Mytilus edulis: one gene and its partners. The protein of the gene in region 3 binds, or shares a complex with, the protein of the main gene of each other region. Links are inferred from orthologs where the notes say so. Each region holds a gene or a part of one and is shown on either strand. Other genes may lie near its edges.

The links.
Region 1: the proteins of protein Mo25-like (region 3) and serine/threonine-protein kinase stk11-like are in contact, whole or in part, in a crystal structure (PDB 2WTK), measured with the Homo sapiens proteins. The link is inferred for Mytilus edulis from reciprocal best matches to the Homo sapiens genes CAB39 and STK11. Residues at the interface, in NP_001124321.1 of Homo sapiens: Gln109, Gly111, Thr112, Lys196, Leu197, Leu238, Asp239, Arg240, His241, Phe243, Met246, Ile250, Val280, Ala283, Asn284, Pro285, Glu317, Gln318; in NP_000446.1 of Homo sapiens: Gln100, Arg103, Arg104, Glu165, His168, Ser169, Gly171, Leu201, His202, Pro203, Phe204, Ala205, Ala206, Asp207, Asp208, Phe234, Arg301, Ser307, Arg310, Lys311, Lys312.
Region 2: the proteins of protein Mo25-like (region 3) and STE20-related kinase adapter protein alpha-like are in contact, whole or in part, in a crystal structure (PDB 3GNI), measured with the Homo sapiens proteins. The link is inferred for Mytilus edulis from reciprocal best matches to the Homo sapiens genes CAB39 and STRADA. Residues at the interface, in NP_001124321.1 of Homo sapiens: Leu26, Glu27, Lys28, Gln29, Tyr55, Gly56, Thr57, Asn58, Ala85, Asp86, Gln88, Leu89, Phe92, Glu93, Lys96, Arg107, Glu138, Leu141, Ile145, Ser176, Thr177, Phe178, Asp179, Ser182, Asp183, Glu221, Asn222, Tyr223, Val224, Arg227; in NP_001003787.1 of Homo sapiens: Pro64, Leu104, Glu105, Cys107, Ser108, Asn109, Val112, Gln116, Leu119, His120, Lys123, Leu124, Phe125, Asn126, Thr136, Phe137, Ile138, Asp140, Asn141, Leu143, Tyr185, Met189, His223, Gly224, Arg226, Val426, Asp427, Asp428, Trp429, Glu430.

The regions. Positions count from the first base shown.
Region 1 is NC_092344.1:117,604,471-117,614,920, forward strand, and holds the start of serine/threonine-protein kinase stk11-like, read right to left. Parts: upstream 5,160-10,450; 5' UTR 5,042-5,159; coding exon 4,704-5,041; intron 1,199-4,703; coding exon 1,115-1,198; intron 32-1,114; coding exon 1-31. UniProt on the Homo sapiens protein: Tumor suppressor serine/threonine-protein kinase that controls the activity of AMP-activated protein kinase (AMPK) family members, thereby playing a role in various processes such as cell metabolism, cell polarity, apoptosis and DNA damage response.
Region 2 is NC_092345.1:36,193,078-36,204,244, forward strand, and holds the start of STE20-related kinase adapter protein alpha-like, read right to left. Parts: upstream 4,859-11,167; 5' UTR 4,782-4,858; intron 1-4,781. Other genes in the region: sacsin-like, read left to right, coding at 8,189-8,366. UniProt on the Homo sapiens protein: Pseudokinase which, in complex with CAB39/MO25 (CAB39/MO25alpha or CAB39L/MO25beta), binds to and activates STK11/LKB1.
Region 3 is NC_092346.1:47,963,949-47,974,247, reverse strand, and holds the start of protein Mo25-like, read left to right. Parts: upstream 1-5,034; 5' UTR 5,035-5,090; intron 5,091-5,091; exon of another isoform or gene 5,092-5,145; intron 5,146-9,248; 5' UTR 9,249-9,283; coding exon 9,284-9,394; intron 9,395-10,299. Other genes in the region: flavin-containing monooxygenase 5-like, read right to left, coding at 1,678-1,847, 4,728-4,915. UniProt on the Homo sapiens protein: Component of a complex that binds and activates STK11/LKB1. In the complex, required to stabilize the interaction between CAB39/MO25 (CAB39/MO25alpha or CAB39L/MO25beta) and STK11/LKB1.

The DNA of each region.
Region 1 (10,450 bases), on a different chromosome or scaffold from region 3:
TTCACAAACACAATATTCCATAAAAATATACCTGTATTTTTTATTAAGGAAAACAATTAAACAAAATATTTCATGAACAAACCAGTTGGTGAGGTGACCTAAAGTTTATATAAAAAGATTTGCAGACTGACATTGACATTTTGTCTGAACGATTTGGTGAAAGTTTTACAGAATTATTCCGACAGTGATCTCTCTAGTACTTTCTCCTTAAACTTATGGCATCACATTTATAATATTTATTCTATTATAAAACCTATTCATATACTAATAAGAGAACAATGGTAAAAATATCACCATGGTGCTTCATTTATTAGACTCAGGTGTGAATCTGGTACTACCCAATCAGTGGTTTATAAGGTGGCTGTCGATAAAAATTGCCTACTTGTTTTGAAAAAAAATCAGATTTATGAAACAAAAAGTAAAATCAGAGTTGAGAAATACCAGGACAACAAATAATAAGTCTCAAAAACTTACACTCAAATATATAGTTGGTTTATGAGTTGATGATACAGAGTACAAAAAGACAACTAACTGCCAAGGAAATCACTTTCTACATTTACCCCTTGGCTCCAATAATGACTCTCCTAGTTTGTTCTTGTAATTAGATATGTTTACTTGTTTAATAATTAGCCGTGTTGTAATGCCTTCCTCATAAATCTGATATTAAATGATTTCTGGTTGTCTTACATCCCACAAATCAATTATTTTTTTTGCAATAATATCTATTAATAAATCTGTGAGAACTTTCGTCATAATTTTTGACATTTTTTAAGAAACATTTTTTCCTTCTGTATTATAGTCATAATCAAAGACAGTAAAAGACAGATTCAAGATTCAAAATAACCTTTATCAAGTACAAATTTACAACATATATGCATGATATGCATTGTCATAAAATTGAAATTTCTTGCGCAAACTCAAAAAGACAAAAAAGAAATGGGCCAAATATATGTAAACATGTATCTGAATATCTCCTCGGTATAAACGAAAAATTTATTTAATTTAATTTTAAGCTATCATTTTGATTTCCTTTGACCCTGCATTTCATTTTTTTATTGCATGTAAGTTTACCAAACACCCATCTGACTTTCTTTGATATGATTATAAAGGATACATCTTTTGCTTTTCATCATTAAAGATGACATCATCCAAGAAAACTACATGTTTATGGTGAAGCCTCTTTAAAAGCTGAATTTCCCTGTAAAAAAAATGCATGAACCAATTAAGAAACAACCATCTCAGTATGTTCAATGTTATCTTCTGTAACCAAGTTATGATCTAGTACCCTCCTATCAACCCCGGGCAGATTAAGACAACATTTGTTATTACAATGCTACATCATCTGCTGGAAGATAAAAGTCATGCTTATTCGAAATACATCATTCTTGACCAATGGCAGCATTTGATGTCTCTTCTGACAGTGTGGAGTTGTATAGTGGTTGTGTCTTGTGTTTACAAATCTTGTCAAGTAGGAACTTAAAATAAACTTTGACATTCCAACATTTGCTGGAAAATGCTGGAGATATCTTTTCTATTCAATTTAAAGTTTTTTTAGAGTCAATATTCAATAAACTACATAAACACGAGCTCTAGTGAGCTTGCAAATAGACGTAAGACAATATTTCTAGTTTGATAAATACTAGTCTATAATGTGTCTGCATCATTGAACTATAAAATTGTGAACAAATTCTTTAAACCTGTTGTACTGATCCAAAGCATTGTGTTTTTAGTCTTTTTAGCACTTTCCAAATGAAATATTTAAGTGTTTGGCTATTGTAGTGTTACAAATACAAATTTTCAAGCTATATTTTAACTTTTAAGACTTTTTACTATTCCCAGCTACATTGAAATGCATTGACTTAAATGTAGACACAAAATATTTTTGTAAGGCCAAATAAAAATATATGTGTGGTTCCAGTAACCCGACAGACCCTAATTAAAACCCCCCGACCTTAGAACTTTTTTTTTTATTTCTGAAAAATAAATTTTCAAAGGTTAAAATTTTGAGGATTGTGAATTAAAATAATTAAATTCATAGAATTCTGTAATCTGAATTTCCATCACAAGTATCTGTTATGGGTAAAATGCAACAATTCATAACAGAATGCAACAAAATTAACTTAAAACGTATCATGACTGTTTATTTTACAACCAAACACATGTAAAAATGGCGGACTTCAGGTTGGGGCATGTATAATACCGGAAACAATTTCGGTAAACACACGATTTGTTTCCGGATTTTGACATTCAAAAAAAATAAAATTCAAAAACAAATAAAAAAATTGCCGACCTACCAACCCTATTTTTTAAAAGTATGTAACTGGAACCACACATATATTTTTATTTGGCCTAATGTTTGTAATTACTCAGTTTCTAACCCAGCCTAGCATTCTGCCATTTAGTGTCCAACAGAACAATATTTTTTGGCAGTGTTTGCATGTACCCGTATGTGGGTACGAATAGTCAAATAATAGTTTGTATGCTACGCATACCCGCATCCGGTTTTATAATAAAATGGCATCAGATTGAGAATGGAATGTGAAATATATACGGAATTTGTTGCAATTAGTGAATAAATTGATTTAAACTACTCCGAAGTTTTATAGACAGTTTTTCTCAGTTAATAAATATTCTTAAAATGGAAGAGTGATATACATGTGGGGAAGACATTTCAAGTTATCATGAATTGGAACAATTTGTTCAAAACTTTCAGTCAACTATAGCTAATTTTATACAATTGTATAAAAGAAACTCAGAGTCAATTGCAGCTGCAGGAAAAATTTGACAGGAAAAAGGCCTAATACAATCGGTATTCGATTAAAATTTATAGTTTAAATTGAATTTGCAGTGTTTCATTCTATGGTCAAGTTTTTTTTTATGTCAAATACTTCTTGTTTTTCTATTCTAAACCATTCATGATATAAAGGATATATATGTCTACTTTCAGTACTTTCCAAATGGAATGTATTTCCACTTTAAACTTGGCTTGACTAAAGCTGGAACAAAGTTGGTTTAATTTGACAATATTAATTGCTTTTTAAATTTTTATATACACACCCAAGCTTTAATTTTAGTAGTTTAAGATATTTTAAAATTTCCTTTTCTGTTTAACATTTTACTTAAAGATTATTTTTAAATCTCATATGGGTATTTTTCAAATTCAGTAATTTGCATTTACATTTTATGATAGTATTAATTTTTATCATGTTTTTCTTTTACTGGGACTGTAAAGTTTCATTTTCCATCAGTGCATCATAGTGCATGAGCATTTAATTTGCAAGGTTCATTACATATTATTATCTTAAAAATACAATTTGAAAATATTATTTTTCATATTCTTCACTTGTTCTACAGTATATTCGCCCAACTAAGAACTGGCTATACAGAACTCAATTACTACAAAACCGAGTAGGCCAAACCAACGCCATAGAGTCCTGCAACTGTGGAGCACATGAAACGCCTCAACATTTTCTTCTGGAATGTCCCTGCTATGAAAACGAACGAGAAGATATGTTACACCAAATATCCAAAGAGGTCGGGGTCAGAAACTTGAATTTAGCTAACGAGACTGGACGGCGAGAACACAGAAGAGACAAAAGCCAAACTACAAACAGTGGCACATTACATTGACAGAACGGGCAGATTTAATACTACTGTCCCACAATCCCAATCTTAACCAGCGCATACATGTACCAATTTAAAGCACAGAAAAGAAAATACGTTGAGGAAAACCGCACATTGAGACAATTCGTGCCAACAGGCCTTAAGATTGAGGATTGAGGTCTACATGAAATCCCCATACTATTGATAATTTCCGTTTATATTTCACCTTTCATTTACAATCCCACAGCATTTTTATTATAAAACCGGTGGGTACGCATAGCCTACGAATGGTAATTTGACTATTCATACCTGCATGAAGGTATGTGCAGACATAGTCCAAATAATTATGACGTCTTGAAAGGCTATTATAATTTTTTTCTTTGACGCCTTACATCGACGTCATAACGCCAAACTCATATATTCAGTTGGACTTTGAGAAGGAATTTACTGCTTTATTAAAACGTTTAGCTGATTTCTCCTAAAGATGCTTCATTTTAGGTGTATAAAATATATTTTTTAACCAAACTCGGTACATTTTCACCGACCTGAATTTCCGGATAATGTAAAACAATGGTTCCGGAAATTCGGGTTTTACCGAGTTTGGTGTAAAAATTATTTTATAATCTTCTTAAAGGAAATCAGACAAACGTTTTAAAAAATGCAGTCGACATGTTCCCGCCTCGGATGGAATTGTTCCTTATATTATTATTTCTGTAGGGATTAATTGGAAATATTTTGCACAAACAAACACATAAAAGGTAAGAATTTTTGTTTATGCATTTTGTTTTAGCCTCCAATGAAAATTTTGTGGCTAAATTGGGTCTCAAAGTTGAGAGCAAAATATGCTCTCAAAGTCCAACCGAAAATGGCGGCTTCAGCATTATGACGTCGATGTAAGGTGTCAAAGAAAAAAATTATAATAGCCTTTCAAGACGTCATAATTATTTGGACTAGTGCAGACACTGCCATATATTTTTGTTTTATTTATGTTTTCAACATAATCAAAGACATTGCCTTAAATATGCTTGACATCACATGTTGTGGCATGAGCAAACATTTTGGTTTTTACATTTTCAAATGTGATCTTCGGAAATAACAACCTTAAAACGTTTTGTTCTCCATTAGGAATTTTTCTCAGTTTCCTCTTCTTTAAAATTTTAACAGCCCTTCTGCATAGTGTGACAGTGTCTATAACTTCTTTAACTTTTCCATATGAACCCTCTCCTAACAGATCGCCAACAAGATACTTTCCAACCATCTTTGCCTTTTTCCGACGAGGCTGATAAACGACTTCGCTAGATTCAACTCTGTGAAAAAAGGGAAGACCTCCATCACTATCGTTAAGGAAATCAAGTTGATCAACATGTTCTAGGGTAGAATGGCCATATTCGTTGGGTGCAAGAAATATATCTGTTGGCACCACAACATTCTCTGCCATAACTGGTGTGGACTATTTCTTAAATTTTGGAAACCTAACATCACATTCATGTCAAAGTGGCTGGAGGAAGTTGGTCGACTCCATATTTGACAGTTATCAAAACGAGGCGACTGGTTTAAAAACGTCGTTTCGTGTTCCGGAATCAGCAAAAGAAAAGTTAATATAGCGGGAAATATAACATTTGAAATGTGTTACTTTTTGTTGATACTTTTTGGTATCAAAACTAAAAGTGTCCATATTATTTTTAAGTGTAAATATATCTTTTGTCTACGAAGACAAACACGCATTTTCGCGACCGTTACCGTCAAATGAGCCTTAATTTTTTTATGGTCATTCTTCAAATCGGCACCATACTGTACCGTCATCATATATATACAGTGAATTTAAAAACATCTTGAAGTTGATCTAGTTCATCTCATGTAGGTAAGTCTTGAAGCATTCAAGACTATCTGCACTGATGGCAGTATGTGGTAGTGCATTCCAGTCAGTCTCGAATCGTCCTTGGGTAAAAATATTCCTTCCACACTTGGGTCCTACAAGATGGTACTTGGTATCCATTAGTGTTGATATTTCTGGATAGCCTATCTGGTGGAATGAGAGTATAAGTGGTGTCAAATTTCACCATCCCGTTGGCAAGTTTACATCATTGTGAGCCTTGATGTCCTCCTACGGTCATCGAGGGGTTACTCTCCAGTTGGTTATGCATGTCACTAACAAATCATGATGTGTTATGATATCTATTAGTGCATATGTGGCTGCTCTCCTCTGTACCATTTCCAGTCGCTTTTTTTGTTGTTTAGTTGATAGGGATCCCAGACTGTACATGCATATTCTAGAGTCGGTCTTACAAGTGATTTGTATGCATTTTCTTTTATTGTGTTGTTATTGATGTTCAAGTTACGTTTGAGGAAGCCTATGGTCTTGTTTGCCGTAACACATATGTTTTTGATGTGTTCATTCCATTTTAAATCGGAGCTGATGGTGCAACCAAATTACTTTGCAGACTCGGAGTTAAGAGATTCGAGAATGTGGCCATGCAGTACATATTCTTTTATAATAGACTTGCATTTTCTTGTTATGATAAGAACATTACATTTATCTGGATGAAATGCCATTTGCCATTTGTTTTCCCAAATTGCCAGCTTATTTAGATCTTCCTGAAGGTGGTCGCTGTCTGTGTCTGATGGTATTGGAGATATATGATTGTATCATCAGCAAAGAGTCTTACCCTTGATCGGATTCCCTCTGGCATGTCATTTATATAGAAAAGGAACAAACTGGGTCCAAGAACTGATCCTTGTGTGACGCCTGAATCGACGTTGATTGTATCAGATTTTTCCCCTTCTACAACTACGACTTGTTTTCTGTTGGCCAGGAAGTTTGTGATCCACCTGTTGGTTTTCCCTCCTATGCCATAATGATCCAGTTTGTGTGTAAGTCGGCTATGACCTACTTTATCAAAGGCCTTAGAAAAATCCATAATAAGGCAGTCTGTTTGTTTTCCATGTTTATGGTGATATCGTTAATAAACTCAATCAGTTGTGTTTCGCAGGACAGGCCTCTCCTGAATCCGTGTTGGAGTGGATACAGTATGTTGTACCTCTGTTGTGTTTGTCAGCATGGGTCATTATGTGGCTTGTTACAATGTACTCCATGATTTCGCAACAAATGCAGGTAAGCGAGACTACTGCATCAAACCGTTTTCCCTTCTTGAATATTGGGATTACGTTAGCCTTTTTCCATATGTCCGGTAAATCGCCTGTTTCATATGATCGTCTGAAGATGGTGGTAAGGATTGGTGCAATGTCTATGGCTAATTCCCTCTGCACCCTTGATGTAATGGTGTCTGGACCCGCAGCTTTAAATGGGTTTAGGTTGGACAATAGTTTTGCTATTCCATTTTCTGTTATGTTCAGGTCTTTTTTGAAGTCCAGGGTAGTTGTTGTTGGTCATGTCACAACGGTTTTTGAATTCGGTTTCTGTAAAGTTGTTTTTTTTGTCAGAGAAAAACTGATTGGAACTGTTTATTTAGTATGTTAGCCTTTTCAACTGACTCAGGATGGAGTAGTCCATTGTTCCTTAATGGTAGTATAAGGTTTCCGTCTGATCTTTTGTGCTTGATGAATGTCCAGAAACGTTTCATGCAGTTTGGTTTGTCTTCTTTGGGATCAGGTGTTATTATATTCTCTATATATTTCCAATATGCTCGTCTTATTTCTCTCTGTACCGTACAGAGAGAAATAATACCAGCATATTGGAAATATCTACTACCAGTCTTTTTAGTTCTTTATATTTTGATGGTATGCTTAGCATCAGCTGATTTTTTTTTCGAAACGGTGAGCTTTAGCCATCACTTGGCGTCCGTCGTCGTCCGTCATCGTCCATCTGGTGTAAACTATTTCAAACATCTTCTCCTCTAAAACTACTCAACCAATTCCAACCAAACTTACACTGAATAATTCTAAGGGTATCTAGAATAAAGTTTGTGTTTTATTTTCTGTTTCGTCAAAAAAACATGGCCGCCATAGCTAAAAATAGAACATAGGGGTAAAATGCAGTTTTTGGCTTATATCTAAAAAAAACAAAACAAAGCAGTTAGAGAAAATCTGACTTGGGGTGAAAGTGTTCTTAAGGTAATGTTCTATCAGCCCTGAAATTTTCAGATGGATCTAAATTGTTGGGTTGCTGCCAGTAAAATTGGTAATTTTAAGGCCATTTTGCAGTTTTTGGTTATCTTGAATAGTGTTAATGATAAAGATAAACTTTAAACAGCAAATATGTTCAGCAAAGTAAGATTTACAAATAGGTTTATAGGACCAACATTGTCAATTGACCACTTAAAGAGTTATTGCCCTTTAAGGACAATTTTACACAATTTGTTTATCATGTTTTCTAACTTTAAAAAATCTTCTTTTCTGAAACCACTGAACCAATTCCAACCAAACTTGAGCTGAATGATCCTTAGGATGTCTAGAATAAAGTTTTTGTTTTATTTTCTGTTTCGTCAAAAAAACATGGCCACCATGTCTAAAAATAGAAGATAGGGATAAAATGCATTTTTTGACGTATATTTTAAAAACCAAGGCAGTTAGAGAAAATCTGACACGTGGTAAAAGTATTCATAAGATAGTTCTATCAGTCCTGAAATTTTCAGATGAATCTAATAACCCATTGCTGGGTTGCTGCCACTAAAATGGTAATTTTAAGGAAATTTTGCAGTTTTTGGTTATTATCTTTAATAGTATTAATGATAAAGATAAACTGTAAACAGCAAATATGATCAGCAAAGTAAGATCTACAAATAAGTTCATATGACCAAAATTGTCAATTCACCACTTAACGAGTTATTGCCCTTTAACGACAATTTTACACAATTTTTTTTAAAAACAAAATTCAATGAAATTGGACACTCAAACCCTTTAACGAAAGATAAATGCCAAAAAAATCAACTTGAGCGATTCTTGTTTCTTTTTATTTATTGTAATGTTTTTTCTCTTTTCTTTATGAGCGTTTGATGTCTGTCGTAATCCAAGGGTTACCGTCTTTTGTTCTAGCTGTTTTTGTGATATGTTGGCATTTATAGTATTTTCAAGTTTACCTTGAACATAGTCCCACATTTCTTGTGTACTACATTCTTGATGGTTCATCTTGGTAACATCTGTATTTATTAATTTGAGATCTTCTTTGATGTTTTCCCGCTTAGCTTTTTTATATAAGGATATTTTCCTTGGCTTTTGAGGTTTTTTTTTATGGTATGGTGTTCAACTCTGCAAAGACGATGTCATGATCTGATATGCCCGATATATATGGTTTCGACTCTATTGTAGCAGTTTGGGTAGTTCGTGATTATGAGATCTAGTGTGTATGATTCTCTTGTTGGTTCCTCTACCATTTGTTGTAAGCCATGATCGTCCAGGATGTCAGTGAACTTATGGTGTATGTTGGTATTCTGTGTATTGGGCTTCAGTGATTTGGTTTTCCAGTCCCAGCCTGGTAGGTTAAAATCACCAGCCATGATGATTAAAGCATTTTTTTATATTGTTCGCTCTGGTTAGGCTCTTCTCAAGTCCTAAGTACCCATTCTCGTTTGATGTTTTGGGGTTGTAATATGAGCTTAAGTATATGGCTTTGTGTCCAATGAGTTAAAGTTTGCACAAGACAATTTCACAGTCAGTTTGTAGTTCAGGTACGGCTGTTGTTATATATTTATCTTTAATAGCAACTAGTACGCCCCCTCCACTACAGTTTCTGTCTTTCCGGAAGATGTTATATCCAGGAGGGAATATTTGACTGCCAGTGATCTTATTGTCTACCCATGTTTCGGTTCCAAAGATAATATCTGGGTTTGTGCTTTCTATGAGATTAAGTACTTGTCCTTGTTTACTTTTGATTGATTGGAAGTTAACATTTAGTAATCTTAGTGGTGTTTCAGATTTCTTTGATGGTTTTCTGTTCTTGTTTTTATCCGGTGTGGAAGCATGTAAGGGTCTCATATTTATTGAAGACGTTGGACTGGTAAGAGAGGTGTCAGACAATACGCTGTAATTGTTTGATGTGCTAAGTATTAATGAATAGCATCTGTGTTGAATAGTTTGGACATCCACATGTGATACAATCCCATGCAAGTCCACTGTCATTTGCATATTCATTATACGATTTAGTGTTCATCGACTGGCATGACACATGGTACCACTGATTGCATGTGTCACAAACTATTCCTCTATCGTCCCATGTAACTAGATTGTCACAAGTGCCACATAGATACACAGTTGACAAATCCTTAATATTAAATAGTCAAATCTTATTTTGTAGCCGCTGAGACTACTATAACTCATGGTAGTCTCAGTTTGTAGCTACAGTGATCTACAGTTGTGCAAATCAATGGAGAGAAATCTCAGTCTGGTTTTTTTACCATACCTCTTTCGGCTTACATACTGAAGTCTGTCCAGGGAGAACACGATAATATTGTTTATGCCGAAGCAGTAACAACACCAATCAAAGAAAATCAGACACCAAGAAAAGTTTACCAATATAAGAAAGCAGACTTTGGGACCATGAAAGCAGAAGCAAATAATCTTGGAAACGATGTTATCATAAACTGCAATAAAATTGAGAATGGAAATGGGGAATGTGTCAAAGAGACAACAACCCGACCAAATAAAAAACAACAGCAGAGGGTCACCAACAGGTCTTCAATGTATAGTACAGATATAAACAAAATATGGGAGGAATTTAAAGATGATACATAAACTTACTAACAAGACTGAGCACATACCACAGACAACAATTAAACATCATATAGCACCGGATTATAAACTACCCCCCCCCCAAAAAAAAAAAAATCTCGTTTTTAAAATGCATGAGTAAAGAGATAGCTGGAGTGCCACCATTGAAACATGAAGGACAAAC
Region 2 (11,167 bases), on a different chromosome or scaffold from region 3:
TAGCTGCCGTTAGGCACTTTAGGCATGTGCCTACACATAATTTTTTCGCAAATATTTTTTTTTATTAAAAAAAATAATAAAATAAAAAAAATAATAAACAACGTTATCTGTAGATGAAAGCCAGTGAAGTTGTCAAAACTCTTTAATTATCGACTGTCATGTGTACACTAGTCTCTAGTCCTTAGTGAATGGAATATTGGATAGAATTGAATGTTTTATATGATTTTACCTTGTATAGAAACTAAACTAGAAATTTGGTTCAGATAATTTCACTTCTGTCAACAAAAACTTAAATGAACCTCAACTTAGAAACATGTTTTTTTTAATTAGTTGTTAGTTTTCAACTACAAAGTAGCTTTCCACTTTGTCTTCACCCGACCTACAATAAAACCCTTGCCAATGTTGGTCGTCCGTTTGGCTGTGCAGGATGTATAAATACAGTCACATACACAGTCGCATCTGGTCAGAATGGGGACAATAAATCCGATGCCTAGCTGTAGAGAGAATGTCACTCTTTGAGGAGTTCGTAGTTGGTCCACTGAAAGGCAAAATTTCTGCTTCTATCCAATAACCCATCGTTTTCCAATACATGGCATTTTCAAATTTCCAGACCTTCGTCCTGTAAGACACCTATTACAGGACCTAGCTCCCTGTTGTATTTATTGTAAAAAAAAATTGTCCTGAACTTGCATTAATATTTATGAAAATCAATCGATCAACTAGCTTCCAGTAATTTTGTGTACTCTCAGATCTGCATGTAATGACCACAATTATTCAAATTCCTAAGCAGGTAGGGATTTTACAGTAGAGGATATAAAGACATATGAATTTCTTGAATTTTGTTACGATAGTATGAACGGAACAGAACTTTTGCATTAGACATCGACTACATGTGTACAATGGTGTATGTGTTTCAACTTTGTGTGGCTTGGGTGAAGGGTTAAGAATCAAAAGATTGATGGTTGATGTCTAGCCAAAAGGACAGTTTTATTATCAGTGTTTACATAACGTGCCTATTTTTTTTTAATGAAGGATCGTCAATATGTACTATTAATTAAGTTAAACGTATATATCAGAGGTATGAAAATACCAAACAGGGTATACTGCTTAATAAAAGGGATACGCTGATCTACGCTGGGCAATGCATAATGATATTGTAAATATTTTTTTTATATATTTCCGATTGTACTGTGTTTTATTGCGTTTATATTTAATTCACCAGTCAGATGACAGTTTATCATGTTAATGTAAATTATTTATAATTCTTTGAACTTTTCATCATGTATATTATAATTTTCTTGATTAAATAACCAGTAAATTAAATATTTTTGTACATAAAATTTTGCAGCTAAAACACTGAAAACCGTGAACCGAGGACTCTGTCCTGGACCTTATGGAAGCCTAGAGCGGCCCCCAGACCCACTGCCGATTGATGCCTACAGTTGACTGAATACCTAGCTACACCCCTGGTATATGGAGAGTCCACCTTTCCATAGACAAAATTCATAGAAACAAACTTGTGCCTATGCCATTTACATGCATAAATACAGATAAACCTGTACTAGCATGTGTACAGGTCAGGAATAACCACTTATTGGTGGATTATACCTCAATTGACGTATAATCCACCAATTGAGGTATATTGGTATAGACCAATTGATGTATAATGCAAGTTTTTTGTAATTAAATGCTAGTGTGAGATAGCATGATTTTGCAACTTGCAACCTATTTCATGACCCTTATTGAGTCCGCCGAAAGTTTCAGTTTTGTCAAAGCCTGCTGCATTTCTTGAGAATGCATGTGTACAACAATTCTTTTGTTGAAACATTTGTACTATTGACCATGATTGACTTTTAATAATGAAAGTCAAGTATTAACAAAGAGCTCCATTCACCTGTGGAGTTGTACTCATGATCACATGACAGCAGACATTAATGATGTCCATTGACAGGTGATTACAGGTAAATTTGCCAATCAAGAATTGACAAGATAACAATAGAAGAAACTTCAAATACAATTATTGATTAAATGCAATACAGTACTACCTGTGACTTTATCTTATTAATGGTGGCCATAAAAAATATGTTCACCATGGTGGCCCTATATGTCCCTGTTGCTTTTTTAATACACAAGGTATTAATCAAAAACTAGTCAAGGATAAAGGGAAATCTTGAATGCATTGAAGTGTTAAAATTATATAACTTACAGGTCATGTGTCTCAGGTAATATATACATGTATGTGTTTGTCAAATTTAATAACTGTGTTTATGACAAGAAATTCGAAAATAAAATGAAATAATAAAACTAGGTGAAAAAACAGCTCAAAAAAATAATTGTCTCATGACTATTAGTTTTAATATTATACTTTTTAAATAATTTTTAATCAATTTAAGTTATTTTTTATATTAAGTATCATTTTCAAATATAATTGCACACATTTACAATGCCTGCCTTTTCTAATGAAAAGGTGTTTCTCAAATTAATTTTCTTACATCAAAATTGTTTATTAATTGTAAATAGACTGATCTGCATTCAACATTGTTTAACATATATATGTTAAAGATTGTCTTTAGGACTTACGCTAAATAAAATTTAGGCAGTTAATTATTTCTCAATTAAATAACATATAAATATTAGAAATATTCATTACAGCAAAATTTGATAATATCTTTATTGTCATATGATATTTTAAACATGATCCATGTTTTAGAGGTTAAGCATTTCTTTTACTTTTTGTTTTTGGGTAAGAGACATTATTATGAGAAGGTAAATAATTTTCATATAGATTATCTCAAAGTTGTTTTGCTAATTTTACAATCAAGGAATAGGTGTTTTCGTTGACCTACAAGAGACACAGTTTACATATTCTATCATTTCTAGGTATTTTATATAGTCCATTATTTTCTATTTCTAAATTATGACCAAAAATTCTACCTATTGACACAATTAAGTTTACAGTTTTTATCATAAGTTTTTATTCTTAGATTTTTTTTAAATTCATTTTTTATTAAGTAGATATAGGAAGATGTGGTGTGAGTGCCAATGAGACAACTCTCCATACAGATAACAATTTAAAAAGTAAACCATTATAGGTTAAAGTACGGCCTTCAACAAGGAGCCTTAGCTCACACCGAACAACAAGCTATAAAGGGCCCCAAAATTACTAGTGTAAAACCATTCAAACGGGAAAACCAACGGTCTAATTTAAAAGTCTTAATTCATTCAAGTCCCTGCAATTATTAACAAATATCTAAAAGGCCTAGGTTGAGTGAAATATTCTTTGCAAATGTATACCAAGAATATGTATCATGCTAGTCCAGCACTTTCAACAATATAATACACTGAAAAAAAAATATGATTTAATTAATAGACCATAAAAGTGTCACCATTTTTAGAAGTGCACATTATTTTTTCTGGAGACAAATTTTGAAAGAAATTAACCAAACTGAAAATAACATATTTAATAAATTTCAATTTCTTAAAATAATTTCTTTGCATAAGATTCACTTTATTCAGAGATAAGAACATTTTTCATTATGATTAGCATTTTCGGTAAACGGAAAAAAAGTCACAGGAAAAAAAGTCACAGGACTAGGTGGGCATTTGAAAAATAAGTCTTTTCAGTGATTGTTTGTGCACAACTCTTGTTTTGAGATTTGAAAAAAATTTAGATAAACAAAATTAGTTTTTTTCCTAAACCATATAATGAAACTTGTAGTTTTCCTGAATAATATTAGATGTTATCAAAATTTATTGTAAAAGGGTTGATATTGATCATCTTATTTTGTTAAGAAACCGACTTGTTTAATACTTTATTTGTTTTTTAAATATCATTTGCATGATTATTAGTTATTATTAATAGTAATAACTCATTTAATAATGCTAACAAACAATTGAATACAATGTACATCATGTACATTTATATAAACCTTTTACTTAAAAAAACAATTATTAAAAGTGTTTATTTCAAATGCTAGTCAATAACTTTATCTTTGACTTTTTGCCATTTCTACTCGAGATTCTTACCAAGAAGAAATTAAAAGAATAAGAAACAAAAAAGTAATGAAAAAACCCATACAAAAATGAAAAAAAAACAAAAATAAAAATTTTAAATAACATTAAAACAAAAAAAAAACAAATAATAAATTAAACAGACTAAAACAATATTTTATTCTACATTTTCAAAAAAAGGTGAAATGTCAATTTTAAAAGAAACCTGAGTTTCCTGTACAGGTAAATTTTAATGAAACATACCAGCTGAAAACTTCAACCCTGATTGATTTTAACAGGTAACATACTGAGATAAAAAATCTATCTATGTTTTATGACCCCCCAATAAATGGCCAACATCTGAAGATTGAATACCCCAATAAATGTTCACCATTGGATGTTGACCATGCAAGAGGGTGGACATAACTAAGAGGATAGGATGTCACAGGCTGTACTGTATGTTATGTCACTATACTAAACTAGAAATGTTTGACAAGTTTTCATACCATAATATGGTTTTAAGAAAACAATGCTCCATTTTGGTGGAATAATTTGTTTTGAAAAACAAAGAATTATACACCAATTGGTCTATATCATTATATGTCAATTGGTGGATTATACGTCAATTGAGGTATAATCCACCAATTGGTGGTTATTCCTGACCTGGTGTAAATGGTGTAGTTGATCAACATGATGCACAGATGTGACAGTCATAGCTTGACTGTCCTACAGTTTCAAATCAGCTAAAAAGAAACATCTTCTTTATGTTTAAAGAACAAAAAAGATCATGCCTTCGATACAGAAGTCTAAATAGCGCTAGAATAGTCTTTCCAAACTTTGTCGACTGCAAAATAACACTTCCGGTTTCGGATAAATAATAGCAGAGACAAATACGGAAAAGTTATGTCAATATATACGGTATCAAGAACGATATAGAATAGAATAGAATAGAATAGAATATTTTTATTTCCCAAATTACAGGGCCCAATAAAGGGCATAAAATCAGATAACTTTGATTTACATAATTGGTAACACCAACAATAATAGTAACATGTAAATAGTGATTTATGTCAGAATAAGCATTTCTCAGAATCTTCAGAAAATCTAAACTGAATAGAAGGTGCCGTCAGTCTATCATTTAGTCAGATCCTATATAACATATGGATCAAACTGACTAGTATTATTAAATTGACTGATGAAGGTAAATCCTGAAGAGCGCTTCGGACGCATAGAAATTATTAAACGTGCTGTTTTCAATTTTTGACCCATCAAATAAATATGCGGCACATATATGTAGGGCTACACAGGCACTTGTCACAGAATTATTTTTTATATTTACCTAAATATAAGGTATAGTAGGCTTCTTTTTTTCGAATACAAGTGCCTGTGCACATATAATATAAAAATATTCAATTTTAATCCGTGTTCTCCGCTAAATTAATGATGTCTGATCAGTTACAAATAATTTGCCGGAAAAAGCTTGTGACAGATCCAGCAGAAAAATAAAAACACCAAAAAAGAGCCAAAATATTAGGATCACTAATTATGGAGATTAAACCCAACCAGTCTTATATCTTTTCGTTCAATAATCCCATATATAGCAAATTACATGGATGATTAATAATATTGACCATTTCTGTGGTATATGGCCGTGTTCTAAATATGCTGCATATCTTTTTTGTTTAACTCACATTAGCCAGAGACGTATATAGCGTGACTAAAAACACCCTTCACTTTTCCATTTTACCGCTTTTAGGTCACGCAGATATGGCACCACTGACAACTTCTAATGAAAGGATAACAAGCAACGTTTCAATTGTTAATTTGTAAAAATCAATTCAGTTCCTCTAGTCCTCACCTCCCTCATTTTTCTAAATCCTGGATCCACATTTTTATACAGGGACATTGCGTGAAAGGTCAAATACAAAATATAAACAACTGTATATGATAATACGTTTTAGAAAATTCTGTGAAATCTTGTTCTTTTGGAAAATTGAAATTGAAAGTGAAAGTACAATATTTATACTTCTTTAATATTATTTGCACGTACGGTAGACCTCATTCGGCATATGACGGCTTTGTCCTTGTCATTTAAACATTACTATCGATTGATATTAAAGTGTCCGAGTCTCAAATTAAAAAAACTACAAATAATTACAACATGTAAAACTCCAATGTTTTTTCGGAAAATTAAAAACGAAAGCGAAAATGAAATATATATAGGATAGATATCTGTAAAAAGTATATATATACATTTGTAGTTAGAAATTACGCACTACAAGTAAGGAAGTAAGTGCAGTTAACTCTGAGGCAGTTAACGAATTTATGCACAATAGTACGAGTCGACGGAAATAATGGCGGCGTTTCCACTGACAGTGAGGTAAGATCATTTTACTGATGTGGTAATATGTTTCTTGTTCGCCAGGGCAACTACGATATAGAATTATCGGCTCCAATGAAAGTTTTCTGTCTTACGCAAGTCCATTTGACTGTAAACAGAGGCGGATTTAGAGGGGGGCAGGGGGCCCGGCCCCCCCCCCCCCTTTTTGGGAAAAAATTTGGTTGCTTATATAGGGAATCACTGAAGGGTGACTGGAGCGGGCCCCCTCTTAGGTCAGTAGTGGGCCCCCACTTATAAAAATTTCTGGATCCGCCACTGGTAAATGTGTAAAGGATGCTTCTCGTTCCTGTTGTACTAAGACTTTCATTTTCAACACCACTTGACAACAAGATAATATGTTTTAAATGCATTTTGCATACATTACTGATTGCCATACACTTATGAGTCTTTAAACGTATTGATTTTGATGTAACATTTCAATCTTCATGCCTATATATATCATGTAATGTGTTACGCGGACGCTAGATTAAAACTGACGACGAAAGGTAACACTCGGACTCACCCTGCCACTGAAATCTTTACTTTTGTAGAGCCTGGGTGGTCGAGTGGTCTTGCGCGTCGGGCATAGTAGCGCGATTTGGTGTCACGATATCTCAGTAGCATGATTTCGAATCCCGGGCAGACGGGAAGAACGATTGAAAATTTGCTAACACAAATTTACAGATCTAACATTTCTGGCCTGTTATTTAGACGAATTATAATATATATATAGAGAGTACATGTTATTATTTAAAACAAGAAATAACTTGTATGCTAGCATTATGAAAGTAATTACTGGTACAATGCCATCATAGAAATTATTACTTGTACACATATAATTGTATTATATATATATAGAGACGTTTTCATTAAATATTCTTCAAAGTTTGAAGTATAATGTATACATAGTTTAGTTGCACGTGTCCAGAGATAAATTTTTGGTCATTTGTCGCGTTATGTTCCAAAACATTCACATTCGACTGTTCCAGAACATTCACATTCGACTTCTACAAGAAGTCACCGAATAATGGACTGAAATGAACGTGAAGTCACTGTACGATTACAGACGGTTACAACCGATTATGTAAATCTAAAAGTATACAGTAATATTGGGAATCTGCATGTTTGATAGCTGCGGAATCGGTACGTTCTTTGGTCTAATGATTTTTTTTTACGATTTGCAGACCATAGTTCATCAGCTACATGTTTGATATGAAAGATGAATACTTTTGAAGAGGAATTTAATTCATATTTTGGGTTATTAACCACTGTCTTCTCAATTTCAAAAAAAAATCTTCGAACGAGGGCGGACTTTCAGATAATGCCCTTAAAAACTTTTAAATTGTATCATTACTTTTCATGCACAATTACTGTATTGAAAACTTCACTACAAACAACATGTTCTGTTGTCATGTAATGTTGCAAAATTGAAGCCACAGTTTACCGAGAACTCGAAAGGACATTTAATCATACAATTCAGAGGTTTTGCTAGCTATAGAACCAGCTTTAATCTACCATTTTCTACACAAGAAAAATGTCTGCACCAAGTCAGCCTGAAATATTACAGTTGTGATCTATTCATCTGATGTGTTTGAGCTTTCGAATTTGCCGTTTGGTAAGAGACTTTTCATTTAGAATTTTCCTCAGAGTTCGGTATTCAGTTTTGTTATTTTACTTTTCATAGAGGACACTGTTGACATAGTGTGAATATATTTTAGATACAATTAAATCTAACAAATAATCCATGGACACTTATAAATTTGAATTGGCATTTCTGTTTGTAGGTTATTATTGTAAACCGTTTTAAAACCGTTTTAAATGGAGGGAAAAAGAAGCAAAAGAAATTCAAAGGAGACATATATCAATGAACCAAAGAAGAAAAAGCAACGTCAAGATGAATCCTATAGCCATGGACAGTTTCGGTCATCTTTGGGACATAAATCTGGAGGAAGTATGCAATCTGAAGATGAAGAAGAAGACGAAGAGAAAACATTCGGTAAGGATTTAAAATTCATTACCATCTGCTTATCTCCAACGTTATATAACGGCCATGGGCTTGTTGAGGATCTTGGTGAGTTTTTCAGAATATAGAATAATGAGCATCTCAGCTTCAAATCCTTACTATGTATTGGTGACCTAAGCTACAGCTATCGTTCGATTTCGGTTTCTAGGAAGTGTTCTACAATTAACCTTTCAGTGCTTTTATTAAACTAGTTCATTAAATCTACTAGCAAAGAATTTATATAATGGAATTAATTATTTTTGGAGTGTAGCAAAATCTTTGGATGTTTTTGGTGGTCCTTTTAAATCGGTTGACACTGTTGACCCATAGAATAAGATAGGTATTACATATATGGTTGACCTATAAACTCTTTACATTACACCCCCACACAATCTTATTAAACATACGTTTTCCTATTTAAAGATATGGTCGTTTGAAAAATCTTTCATCAAAAGTATTGGCTGCAACTCATGTAAAGCCTCCTTGTCTAATGAGAAAGATTGATATCTTCTATATTCTTAATGGGTGTGTAATGCTTAAAGCTGTAAATGTTCTTAAACATTTTTGTACGTTTTGTTAATAAGGTTTATCGACAAGATGAAGGTATTAAAATGGGCACAAATTGGCTCCCTATATAGCAAACTTTATTTTGTACTTAAAAGAATCTCAGTCTATGACCAAACTCAGTAAAGACCTGTCTCAATTGCATTTTTAAAATTGTTTAATTCAACCACACTAACCATAACCTATGGAAAGCCAACGGGGTCAAAATTCTTAATTCGTAACTTATAACCTTGCTGATATTTTTTTCGTTACATAATAATAGATAATTTACTAAATCGTTGTATGAAATTCATCCTAAGGAACTTACTTTAAATCAATAAAATTTGAACGTTAATAAAAAAAAAGAAAACGGCGGAAGATACCAGAAAGGAGAAAACTAACGGCCTGAGTCATGTACAAAACAATGAACAGAGAACAAATATGATACACAGTAGCATACGATAAGCACCGAATTACAGGCTCCTGACATGGGAAACCACTATTACAGAAGATGGCAGAGTTAGACGTTTTCTCTTACTCTCCACTTACCTGGGGCATTTATTTAATAAAATATAAGAACAACCTAAAGAAATCAGTTTAAAAGCTACCCTTCAGATCGATACAAAAACATATTTTTTTTTTAAATCCACAAAAGACAACAAACTGAATACAACAAAATACAACAAGAACAGATCTTAGACCACTCGCAGTTGCTGAAATTTAGTTCAATTGAAATTAAACAAATAGCAACTTATAACAGAATCTGTATCTAAGACTTCAATATCAATCAGTACACATCTAGCATCAAGAGTATTCACACATTATTTGTATAAGAATCAAGAGATTTTGTATCACATTTCCCCCGTTTACACCCATTTTTACTATTGGATGACAGAGCGTCTTTAATGATTTGACGATAATGTTTCTAGATTATTTTTAAGAAGGATGAAACTAACATATCTTATATATTTGTCACTTGCATCTCTTGTAGGATATCTATTAAAAAAGAACAAAAAAAAGATAAGAAAAAAAGAAGTTAGCAGTCGCCTTTAACTTTATTTTCCGCTAGCTAGATCAGTGATTTTCTCTCACTTAATAATTCAAAATTTTTTGACTACGTTCAACGCATCCATCAAAATTGAGATAAAGGATATAATAGGTACAGCTCAGTCTGCCTCATATACTGATCTAAGAAGATGTGGTATAAGTGCCAATGGGGCAACTCTCAAACTGACTTAGATCTAGAAATTGACTATTATAGGGTGGGTTAAAAACAAAACTTTACGACAAAAGATATGCATTTTCCTATTGGGAACTTTCCATTTCTATTTTGCAAAATTCCAACAGTGCCTGCTTACAGAGTATATACGGTATTCCAGGCCTTGTATTTTCTATCATGATGTCCTTGATAGAGTATTTTTTCATACAAGGAAGCTGTTTAACCATGGTTTCCAAATGTTTTTTCATGACTTATATGTTCTTAATGTGACTTTATGTCGTAACTAAAAGATGGGGCGAAAGATACCAGAGGGTCAGTCAAACTTGCAGATAGAAAATAAACTGACAACGCCATGGCTAAAAATAAAACGATAAAAGACAAATAAAAGTGCACAAGACACAACACAGAAAACTAAAGACTAAGCAATACGAACCCCACCAAATATTGGGGTGATCCGGAAGGATAAGAAGATCATGCTCCGCGTGCTGCTCATGTTATTACAAACCCGGTAAATAGTCTTTTTCGGTAGGTTACATTCGTGGGGAAAAGGGAAGTAGATTGTAGTTACGACATAAGGAACATATCTGATATCATCGGTGAAACGGTTATTCCAGTACGGTCAACTAACTCGTGAGGGCATCCCTAAAATTTACAAAGGGATGATTTCAACTTCACCATTTGGAACTCTCAAGGTTTAATAGCTTCTTCATGAGCATCAACCCTCTATCAAAGAAATAATGATAGGAATTAAAGCCCGGGAATATCGTATCAATTGGGATTTATATACTCCGTATGCCGGCGCTGCTTAAATGTTGCTTCATAGAATTTGAAAGTTCACAATTGGAATGCTGAAATCATCTATTTGTCGTAAAGCTTTGTTTCCAACCGACCCTCATTGTTAATTTCTAGATGTACGTCCCATTCCGTTCCCTTTTCCCATTGTGACCTACTTAATTAGACTTATTGCCGGTTTTATATTTATATGAACAAACACGGTGACTGCAACAAAGTTACAGGTGGAGTAGAATTTGCT
Region 3 (10,299 bases):
GAGAACCAACAACCTTCCAAAGATATTTTTTTAATAACTGTTTTCAATTACAGTATTTTGTTCTCAGATTTTAGATCTATATCTAGATTTCTTCATATGGCTACTTTGTTGTAACTAAATGAAACTTTGCCAATGTCTTTAAAAGGGACTACGATATAAAAAAAATCTAAATGCTTAAAGACACTGACTGCAAATAATTCTGCTTTGCACATTACTTCAGCTGGTATCCGCTCTTTGGTTGGGTTGTTGTCTCTTTGACATATTACCCATTTTCATACTCAATTTTACTTAAGATAAATTGTCTTATATTGTTATAACCCATTGCAAGTTTTTTCATGTTTTTTACTTATGCATCAATGTTTATTGTTTATATGGCTATTTTTATCTCTTTCAAGTACATGTCATAATGTAGATGTGACATGTATGCAATAACGAATAAAAGAATACAAGTAAATTTTACAATTGTGAGGCTACTAGGGTCAATTACAATACATACATTTTAATTTGAAAATGTAACATGTAAACCACACAGACACATAAAATTATAGGTCTGTATAAGTATACATCTCTTTAGTTTGTACATAAATTATCATGTTGCACTAGATTACATCAGAATAACAGTTAAGTATGTTAAAACTGGTATTTCTACATGTAAAAGCATATTTAATTAAAGGGTACCTTGACCAAAAAAATTATATTGCCACATGATGCAAATATTATTTAAAGAGGCAATGTGGTATGATTTTAAATGAGAAAGCTATTAGTTAAACCAAAGGAGATATGGATTCAGACAATGAGCAATGTCTATATTGTATTACAGTAAGCTTTAAAAAGTACAAGGTAGATAATGGTCATTGAAAATACAACTATGTACACAGGCTTAGCAGTGGCAGATCTAGAAATTTTCAAAAGGGGGCACACTGACTGCCTAAGAGGGGGCCTGCTCCAGTCATGCTTCAGTGATTCCTTGTATAATCAACCAATTTTTCCTCAACAAAAAATGGGGTTTGGGCACCCTGGGTTCCCCCTCTAAATCCATCACTGCTTAGCCACCAAAATCAACTGGACACTATTTTCACACAAAAAGCCTACTGCTGACTATGCGGTATGGGCTTTGCTCATTGTTGAAGGCCGTACGGTGACCTATAGTTGTTAATGTCTGTGTCATTTTGGTCTTTTGTGGATAGTTGTCTCATTGGCAATCATACTACATCTTCTTTTTTATATTAAATTTCATTTGGTTAAATTGTAAAATTTTGTTTATTAAATTTTTGAAATTGGAATTGTATGCGACTGTTATACAAGTGAGAGGTAAGGCTAGCTTTAAAACCAGACTTAATACACATACTAAATAAGAAAATGCCTATAACAAGTCAGGAATATGAAAGTTGTTATCAATTTGTTGGATGTATATTCGTTTGATGTATTTGAGCTTTTGATTCGCCATTTGATAAGGAACTTCCTTTTCAAATTTTCTTCAGAGATCTGTACTTTTGCGATTTAACTTTTTGTTTTGTAGTAAACCATAATTATGCATGTTAAATGTTTTAATATTATTAGAAACAAGGAATTATTTGAAACATGTTGAATTTCTTGTTTAGAAAACATATCCATGTCCATGTCAGAACTAAAGTTCTTTCAAATAAACAATATAACAATGTTACCATGGTTACAGACCTTGTCTTTCAATGCTGACCACTTTTCTGCACAATTTGATGATTTCATTCAGCTTAAAGTGGTTGGTATAACTTTTAATATATTTGGCCATATCAACATTGTGTGGGTAATCTGGAACATCGTCAGGAAACGGAAAGTCTGAGAAACAGTAGTTGTACTTTGATACATTTCTAAAATTTATTTTATACATTTATATATAATATTCATACATATATGTGTCAAAGATTACAGAAAGTCTACCTCAACTAGATCATGCATAAAATGTTGGTTAAGCTGACCCAAATTGTAATACAACGTATATATACCAAATTAGTATTCATTAAGTGTTTTAAAAATTAATTATGACTGACCACAAAACTTAATATGTATTCTCAGAAGTCTCCAGTATTAAATGCATATTTCTACAATATTTCATATCATAAACGAAACAATTACTAATATAGATTAACAATATATACAAATGATATAATAATTCAGCAATACAGATCAAGTAATAAATAACAAAAACTCAAATGATGTTTTCAATTCAAAATCTCGCTACATGTATCTTAGCAGTTAGCCTGAGGCTTAGAAAAATTATTTTACTGATTAGTGATAGTATATGAGGGTTTGGATGGGGTTAAATGATTAAAGAATAATGCCCTTAAAAAATGAAGATTAGAGAAAAAAGGGGTGAAAATTTAATGTTTACAGAATATGTAACCATGTAACCTCAAGTTTTCAGAAATATTCTATTAAAAAAAACTCTAGGTCCACACATATACCATACATATATTTATCAAATTCGATTAATTATATGTTGTCAAGAAAAAACATTGATTTTCGGATCTTTATATATTCCGCCTTCTTTTTCCAGACAAAGACTTCAGAAAGTTATATAATTCTTAATTCAGATATAAATTCAATTAAATTCGTATATGTCTGAAAATTTCAGCTTAGAAAAGGGTATGCATATATATCATGTATATATTTGGTTTTTTTTTAATAGAATATTTCTGAAAACTTGAGGTTACATGGTTACTAAATCTTGCACACAGGTAAAAAAAAAAAGAGGTGAAAATTTGATTGGTTTATTTCCTATATGCAATGAAATTTAATGTAAAATTTTGTCTGTAGTACGGTACTAGATGGGATATAGCTTTACTAATGCCAAGTATTTGAAACAAAGATAAATTCTGCATAATTTTTTTTAAAAGTGCAAATTTAACAAAGACAAAAAGGGGAAAATCAATGGTGTTTATATTACACCTATATGTCCTACAATTGATGTCTTTCGTTACATGTACACACTTATATAAAAATATTTTTATTTTCTGCTCATTATTAAAGGGCTTATTACAAAAATATCAATCAAGTTACAAGTAGTAAAATAGAATGAACCATATCAAAATATTGTATTGTTTGATGATTAGGGGAGGGTTGAGTCACTCCATGAGATATACAAAGAGGGATAACTCTAGGTCCACACAGATACCATACATATATTTATCAAATTCAATTAATTATATGTTGTCAAGAAAAAACATTGATTTTCGGATCTTTATATATTCCGCATTCTTTTTCCAGACAAAGACTTCAGAAAGTTATATAATTCTTAATTCAGATATAAATTCAATTTAATATATCATCTTTTAATGTTGATTCTTTCAAGTTGAGATAATTATAAACAAGAATGTGTCCATAGTACACGGATGCCCCACTCCCACTTTCTATGTTCAGTGGACCGTGAAATTGGGGTCAAAACTTTAATTTGGAATTAAAATTAGAAAGATCATATTATAGGGAACATGTGTACTAAGTTTCAAGTTGATTGGACTTCAGCTTCATCAAAAACTACCTCGACCAAAAACTTTAACCGGACGGACGAACGGAGGCACAGACCAGAAAACATAATGCCCCTCTACTATCGTAGGTGGGGCATAAAAATATATGTTATTAAGATATATGCATCTCTAATTTTTATATTAAAGAAAGCTTGTCAATACCTGAGACTACTATGTTATAGAAGTCTCAGTCAATACTTAATATCTTTAAAAAAAACTTTGACCTTAACATTTTTAAGGCAGCTACATATTCTTATCTTGAAGAGGTACATTTATAATTTTAAAAAAATTGCTCTTCACTATATATTAAAGTATTAGCTGTTTCTTTATAAAAGTCTCTCTGACAAGACTTTTAATTTGAAGATTATGATTACTAATTACTCTAAATCTACACAAATTAAATCCTTGTTGATATAAACAAATCCTTCAAATTTAAATTTGAAATAGAACTGTGTTTTGAATTTGCTATGCTCATAAATCACCACAAATGCAGGTATTTGTCTCAGATTTTTTTTCTATATATATATACCTTAAATAATACAACACAATTTTTCATTTGCAAATTTCCACTTACGCTGAATCAAAATGTCTTCAACTTTGCAAGTCATTCATCTTTATTTTTCTATGGATCAGGATCAACTTCATACCTTTTGAATTTCTTTGGGGTTCTATATTTTTGTGGTTTAAACTTTTACTTTTTTATTTTGTTTGAATTCAAATTAATTTTTGAGTTATTTCCTTGGACAATGAAAGGCTTTAAAGCACCTCATAATCATTTGGACTACCTTTGTAAGGAGACAGATCACATAAATGAGGGGAGGTCATAAATAAGGGTAGAAATGGGGGTACTGTCATGACCAATAACAGGGGGAAAAAATTGCCCAATGACGTTGACGATAATTTTTGGTGCATGACGATAAAAAAATGATTTTGACCAAGGATTTGTACAAATCCAAATCCGTTTTGACAAATCATGTTAATTTATTTCCAAAAATAACGGTAAAGATAATTATTTGAGATCTCTGACAAATCATGGTAAAATATTAACAAAACGATGCTAACGGTAGCGGAAAATGATCGTTTGACGATAAAGGGCATTACTATCCTCAAAAATATACACAAGTTTGCTTTAAAATTTTACAAGGATTTGTGAGGTGAAGCAAGATACAAATTTGATTTGGTATTAATCTTTTATAAAATAATGTTGTCAGTAGCTTTAAAACTTACATGTGTGTGAATCTCATAACACCATAGTCATTTTCTCTGAATGTCCATAACCCTCCTATGTCACCAGATCTTTCAAACACAACCACACTCAAACCAGCTTCTCTCAGACATTTTGCAGTGACAAGTCCAGAAATTCCTGCACCAATAACTATAACATCGGGACGATGGACTTGATCTTGGGAGGACATGTTTTAAATGACATGTCAAGTTATTTCAGGGTAAGATAACGTAAAAAATGGTTCAAAGTTCATTTTAGCTCTTTTAACCATGTGGGTTTGTTTACATTTTTATCTTCCGGCTCTGCGCACCTGACCCGTGACGTCACTTCCTTCTTGAGTTCGATAGCTATCTTGTTCATCACTGGTAAGCATTTCAATTTTCCTGTTCAAAAGGAAGCTTAATAAGCATCAGACTTAAAGTATTTGTTCTAGTATAGTCGTAATATATCGTATTCCTTCAATAATTGAACAAAAACTTTCAAAATATATCAGTGAACTGAAATGTCACAATGGATGAACATTCTTAGAATGCCATAAATTTGACATAATTTCATTTTTACCATGTTTTCTTATTTGCCAACCCATTAGTTTGCTGAATGCACTTTGCAACTCTTTGAGTAATCTTTTATTCTTTTAATAATTATGCTATATACATGCATGATACGTCGAATGGTTTGCAGACTTTAGCCATTTATTCAATGAACTAACATGACTAAGGTTAATCCCTTTTCTGAATCCCAAGCAATTTCAGACTTGGCTGCCCACAGAAAATTGCGCCATACTCACTTGTAGGTCATTTCACCTCTGCACAGGGTCAAACACCACCAAAGTCTTTAAAATGCCACCTAACACCTTGAGCACATTAGTTATATTCTTTTGAATGAGGATGAAGAACATGATCATGATGATGAAGATTATTTTTACACATATTAAAAAAAAAGAAGAAGAAGAAATAATTTATAACTGGAGAATGAACATAAACAGTCTTCTGGTTTTAAACTTTCAGAATAACAATGTTATTGTTGTTCATGTTGTGAAAATATGGCAGGTAATTAAAACACCATTTCACTTCAAACATTGTCAAAAAGAGGGGGGGGGTATTTTTTTTTTATCCTAAAAAAAAATATTCTGATCCCCATTTTAGGCCTGATGAAGACAAATATTGTAAGCAGAAGACGAAAATTTTTAAATGAATGAAATGGTAGCTTCCTCATTATGATTATTTCACATGAAATAAAATGTTTTTACTTTTACTTTCAAAATTATTTTTTTTTATGCTTAAGTATAAGGAAGTGTACATGTGGAAGTGAGCAGTTACAAAATGTACATGTACATGTATAGGCAAATTTTTTTTTTCCACGAAGGGGGCATTCAGTTTTAGCTTGTCCGTCCTTATGTCTGAATGTGACATTGTCCAAAAATTTGTTTCCGTTCACTAACATTAGTTTGCCTTCAAACAAATGTTATGAAATTAAACTTATACATAATACTTCTTCCTAAAAAAATCTGATCAAGTTTGAGTTTTTGTGACATCACTTTTACTTTTCAGAATTATGTCCCTTTACAAATTGAAAATGCTGATTTTTTTGTTTTTATTCTCTCAAGTTTAGTTTGCCTCAAACAATTGTTGCAATAACTTTACAAACTGTTTATTTCAACAAAACACAGATATACATTTGTAATTGATTGATTGATTGTTGGTTGCTTAAAGTCCAGTAGCAAATATTTCATGCATGTTCAGGGCGAGAAAAATTTAACAAAAAATACAATAGGTAGGTCCTGTTTACATTTTTACGTTGTGTTTCCGTTGTGTCGTTTGTTTTCTTCTATATTTGAGTGTGAATTCACATTACTATAAGACGTTTCACGGTACTTTTCTATCCCAAATTCATGTATTTGGTTTTGATGTTATATTGATTATTCTCCTTGGATTTTGTCTAATGCTTAGTCTGTTGCTATGTGTGTTACATTTGAATGTTGTGTCATTCTCCTCTTATATTTAATGCGTTTCCCTCAGTTTTAGTTTGTTTTCCCGATTTTGTTTTTTGTCCATAGATTTACGATTTTTGAACAACGGTATACTACTGTTGCCTTTATTTAATGTTATATTAGAGGTGAATTACAAAATTTTCAAACTGCAATACTATCAAAGGTAATAAAAATAATAGAGATGGACCGTTTCAGACACATACTATTAAGGGGAAAATTCATTCAATTTCAAAACATTATCATTCATTGTTTTAGTGCATTTAATAGAAAAAAAGAATTTTGTGGCAAATAAAACCAAGATTTTTGTAAAAGATCCACAAACTTTAATACAGAGATATTTGATACATTTCTTAAGATACCTTTATAATAAGTTGAGGTGATTGATTGATTATTTGGTGTTTAATGCCACTTATATAATTAGCACTGTTCAGTATTGTGTTTTTTAGTGTTGGTTGATTTTAAGTGGTGAAGGAAGCAGGAGCTCCTAATGAGAAAAACTAATATTCCTAGTCAATTAAGATTGTAGTTAAGCTGCCACTTGGGGGAATCAAACTTCCAACCTCTATATTAACAGGCTAGTGACACAGTATACATAGACAGTACATTATGATTACTTAGAATTACTAGGCCAGCGAAACCCCTTATTTTAGATGAAAAATACAACTTATGTTATAATAATGACTTTTTTGTCCTTGGATAATAGTTGTCCATGTAGTCTGATTTAACTTAAAATGTAAGATTTAATTGGTTGATTTCAGAGTCATAAAACATGCTACATGTTTTTACATTCAATAGGCCACACCTTAGCTATAGTTCATTGCAAATGTTTCCCTCCTGTTATGGAGAAATTAACATTTCAATAAAAAGTCATCCCTAATCCTTGTTTTCACAGGCATTCATCTATAGCATAGCTATCTCTCATGGTTGATTGTAAATTCCCATGATTTTTTTTCTTAAATCATAGAAGTATTTTATTTTGATGAAACCTTAAATCCTGCTGTTAGCATGGTTAGTCTTTTGGCATGTAAGCAGAACTCTTGTTTTGTTGGAGGGAATTGAAAAGAGTACCAACAAAACCAACTTAACCAAGGTGATGGTACTGTGATATGCATGCTCATCATAATTAGGGGTGTGTAATTGGTTCAACAACTTTTATTCAGGTCTAAGAGTTTTGAATGAGTTGCAACTTTTTGGAGTATAAGGAAAGATGATTTTGCTCATGTATAAATGTATCTGAATGGGATGACAGGTATTTTAAGGGAACATTTTAATATCTTGGGTCGTACATGTTACTTTTGTATACATACATCCTACTGTCATGTAGCAAAACACTTATCTTGCTCAGCATGTTGTTTTAGTACAAAGCAAAATATATTCACCTCACACATTACATGTATTTCGATCCTGAATATTGATGAATAGTTCCAACTTGATGTCAAGCAGCCAACAAATTTTCATTACCATAGACAATGATAGAACGAAAACAACTTCTATAAGATATCTTTCAGGGACATTTGTTTAGATACTTATACCATGTATACATATTTTTAGTTTTACTCAACAAATGTCATTTACCTATATAGCTAACATACATAATTCCTCTCGTAAAACCCTTGAATCTCTTTCATAAATCCTTCACCCAGACTCCCAGAGTACCATTAACAGATACACTGTATGTACAAAATGTATGGCTCTTGGTGCAAATGTGCAGTGGTTTAAATGCTGCATGTTTGCTTCCTGTATCATGACCATGATTTATCAGAGGTTGCCAACAACATGCTTGCTTAAACTTCATTTTTATGCCCCCCTCCGTTGCGGAGAAGGTATTAAGTTTTACCCTTGACTTTAAGTATGAACGTAAGTCTCAAAGTTGGTTTCCGTTCTCTAACTTTATTGTACTTATAAATAAATGGTGAGAGAGGGTCAAACAAATACAAAATGTACATACACATACTTAATATTGGCCTCATTGTATCCCCATAAAATTTGATCAATGTTTAGTTCTTGTAATAATCATAAGCAGCAATAAAATAAAGCTCTCTATTAGGTAGTTTTAAAGACTTTTTTTAATTGTTATTCCAGACTATTCATCTTTTTTATAAACATTTTGACTAGTTGTCACTTGTGTACTGTAGACCATTTGTTTTCACCTACTGTTGGTGATCTACGTGTAAAATTTAGTTACAACTGTATCTCTTGATTTTTTAATTGTTTTAGAGTTATTTAACCTTATTTTTTATAATAATGGCATATCATAGCTAATTAAGAAGCACTTCATTTTCTTCAAGAAATATGCAAATGTTCTAGATCTGCCTTATAGAAATCTAGAAAAAAAAAAATGATTCTATTTATTAACCAAGTAAGTATAGTTACACAAAAAACGCAAGCTCTTAAATTTGTACATTTATATAAGTGCATCATATCATCAATCATAGAAGACTCTAGTAAAGTGCATCATTATATACGCATTTGTAACTTTGTACTATTGTCATGATTGTACATACATGAAACATAATACTATTATTTATTGCAGGCTTAAGTGGAAAAATAGGATCGTAAATCCTTATAATGCCCCTGTTTGGGAAGTCACAGAAGAGTCCCCAGGATGTGGTTAAGTCCCTAAAGGAGGCTCTCCTTGCTGTTTCCAAGGGAAGTACAGGGGAAAAGAAAGCTGATAAGGTATGAAGTAATTTGAGCATGTAGTGAAGTCTTTTAAGATGAATTGAATGTCAAACCTTTAGCTTATCACTTGTAACGGACAAGGAAGTATTGTATTTCAAGTTTTTTGTTTTTTTGTTACTTTTAAACATGTTAAATAATTTAAAAGTATTTGGTGAGATCAAATTATTGAGAATTTTTTTTTTAACTTTTTTTCAACTGAATAGGCAATGATAGGTGTTCTGCAGAAGCTGCCATTTTGCATTCTTTACATATTTTTTTTCAACATGTTAAAAGTATGAAAATTTCCTTACTATACTGGGTATATTTCACCCTAACATTTTGTGTTATCAACATCAACATACATGTTTACTTGTGTAGGTTTTGGTACAAATACATTGAATCAAATACTGTACGTGCTGTATTAGTGGAAATTTCATACATGTATGTTTATAAATCAGGTTTTCTATTATAAAGACTTATCCCAATAGTTATAAAGCTGATTCAACTGTAGGAGTGCCACAACAATGTTTATATAATACACTGTTTCATGGTGTGCTATAAATGTTAACATTATGGCAGTGGTCAAGGAAGAAGGATCATAAAGTTATTTCAAATAATGTTTGAAGTGATGTCACTGTCCAACATTGAATAAAGACATGTGTTTTTGTTGAACATACAAAATGTATATATATATATTACAGTGAATTTGTATAATCAGGGATTATGTAGAATCACTAAATTCATTAGTTATTATACATAATCTCTGAAGATGACCAGTGCTGAAAACTCTATTTCTCTGTGAACGTGCCGTAAAATCTGATTCGAAAAGGAGGACATGTTTTTTTTTTAATGTTGATTTTGTGATAAAAACAGATGTGAATTTGATAGATATGCCTGTAGAAAAGCAGGGCAAGTGTGTAATA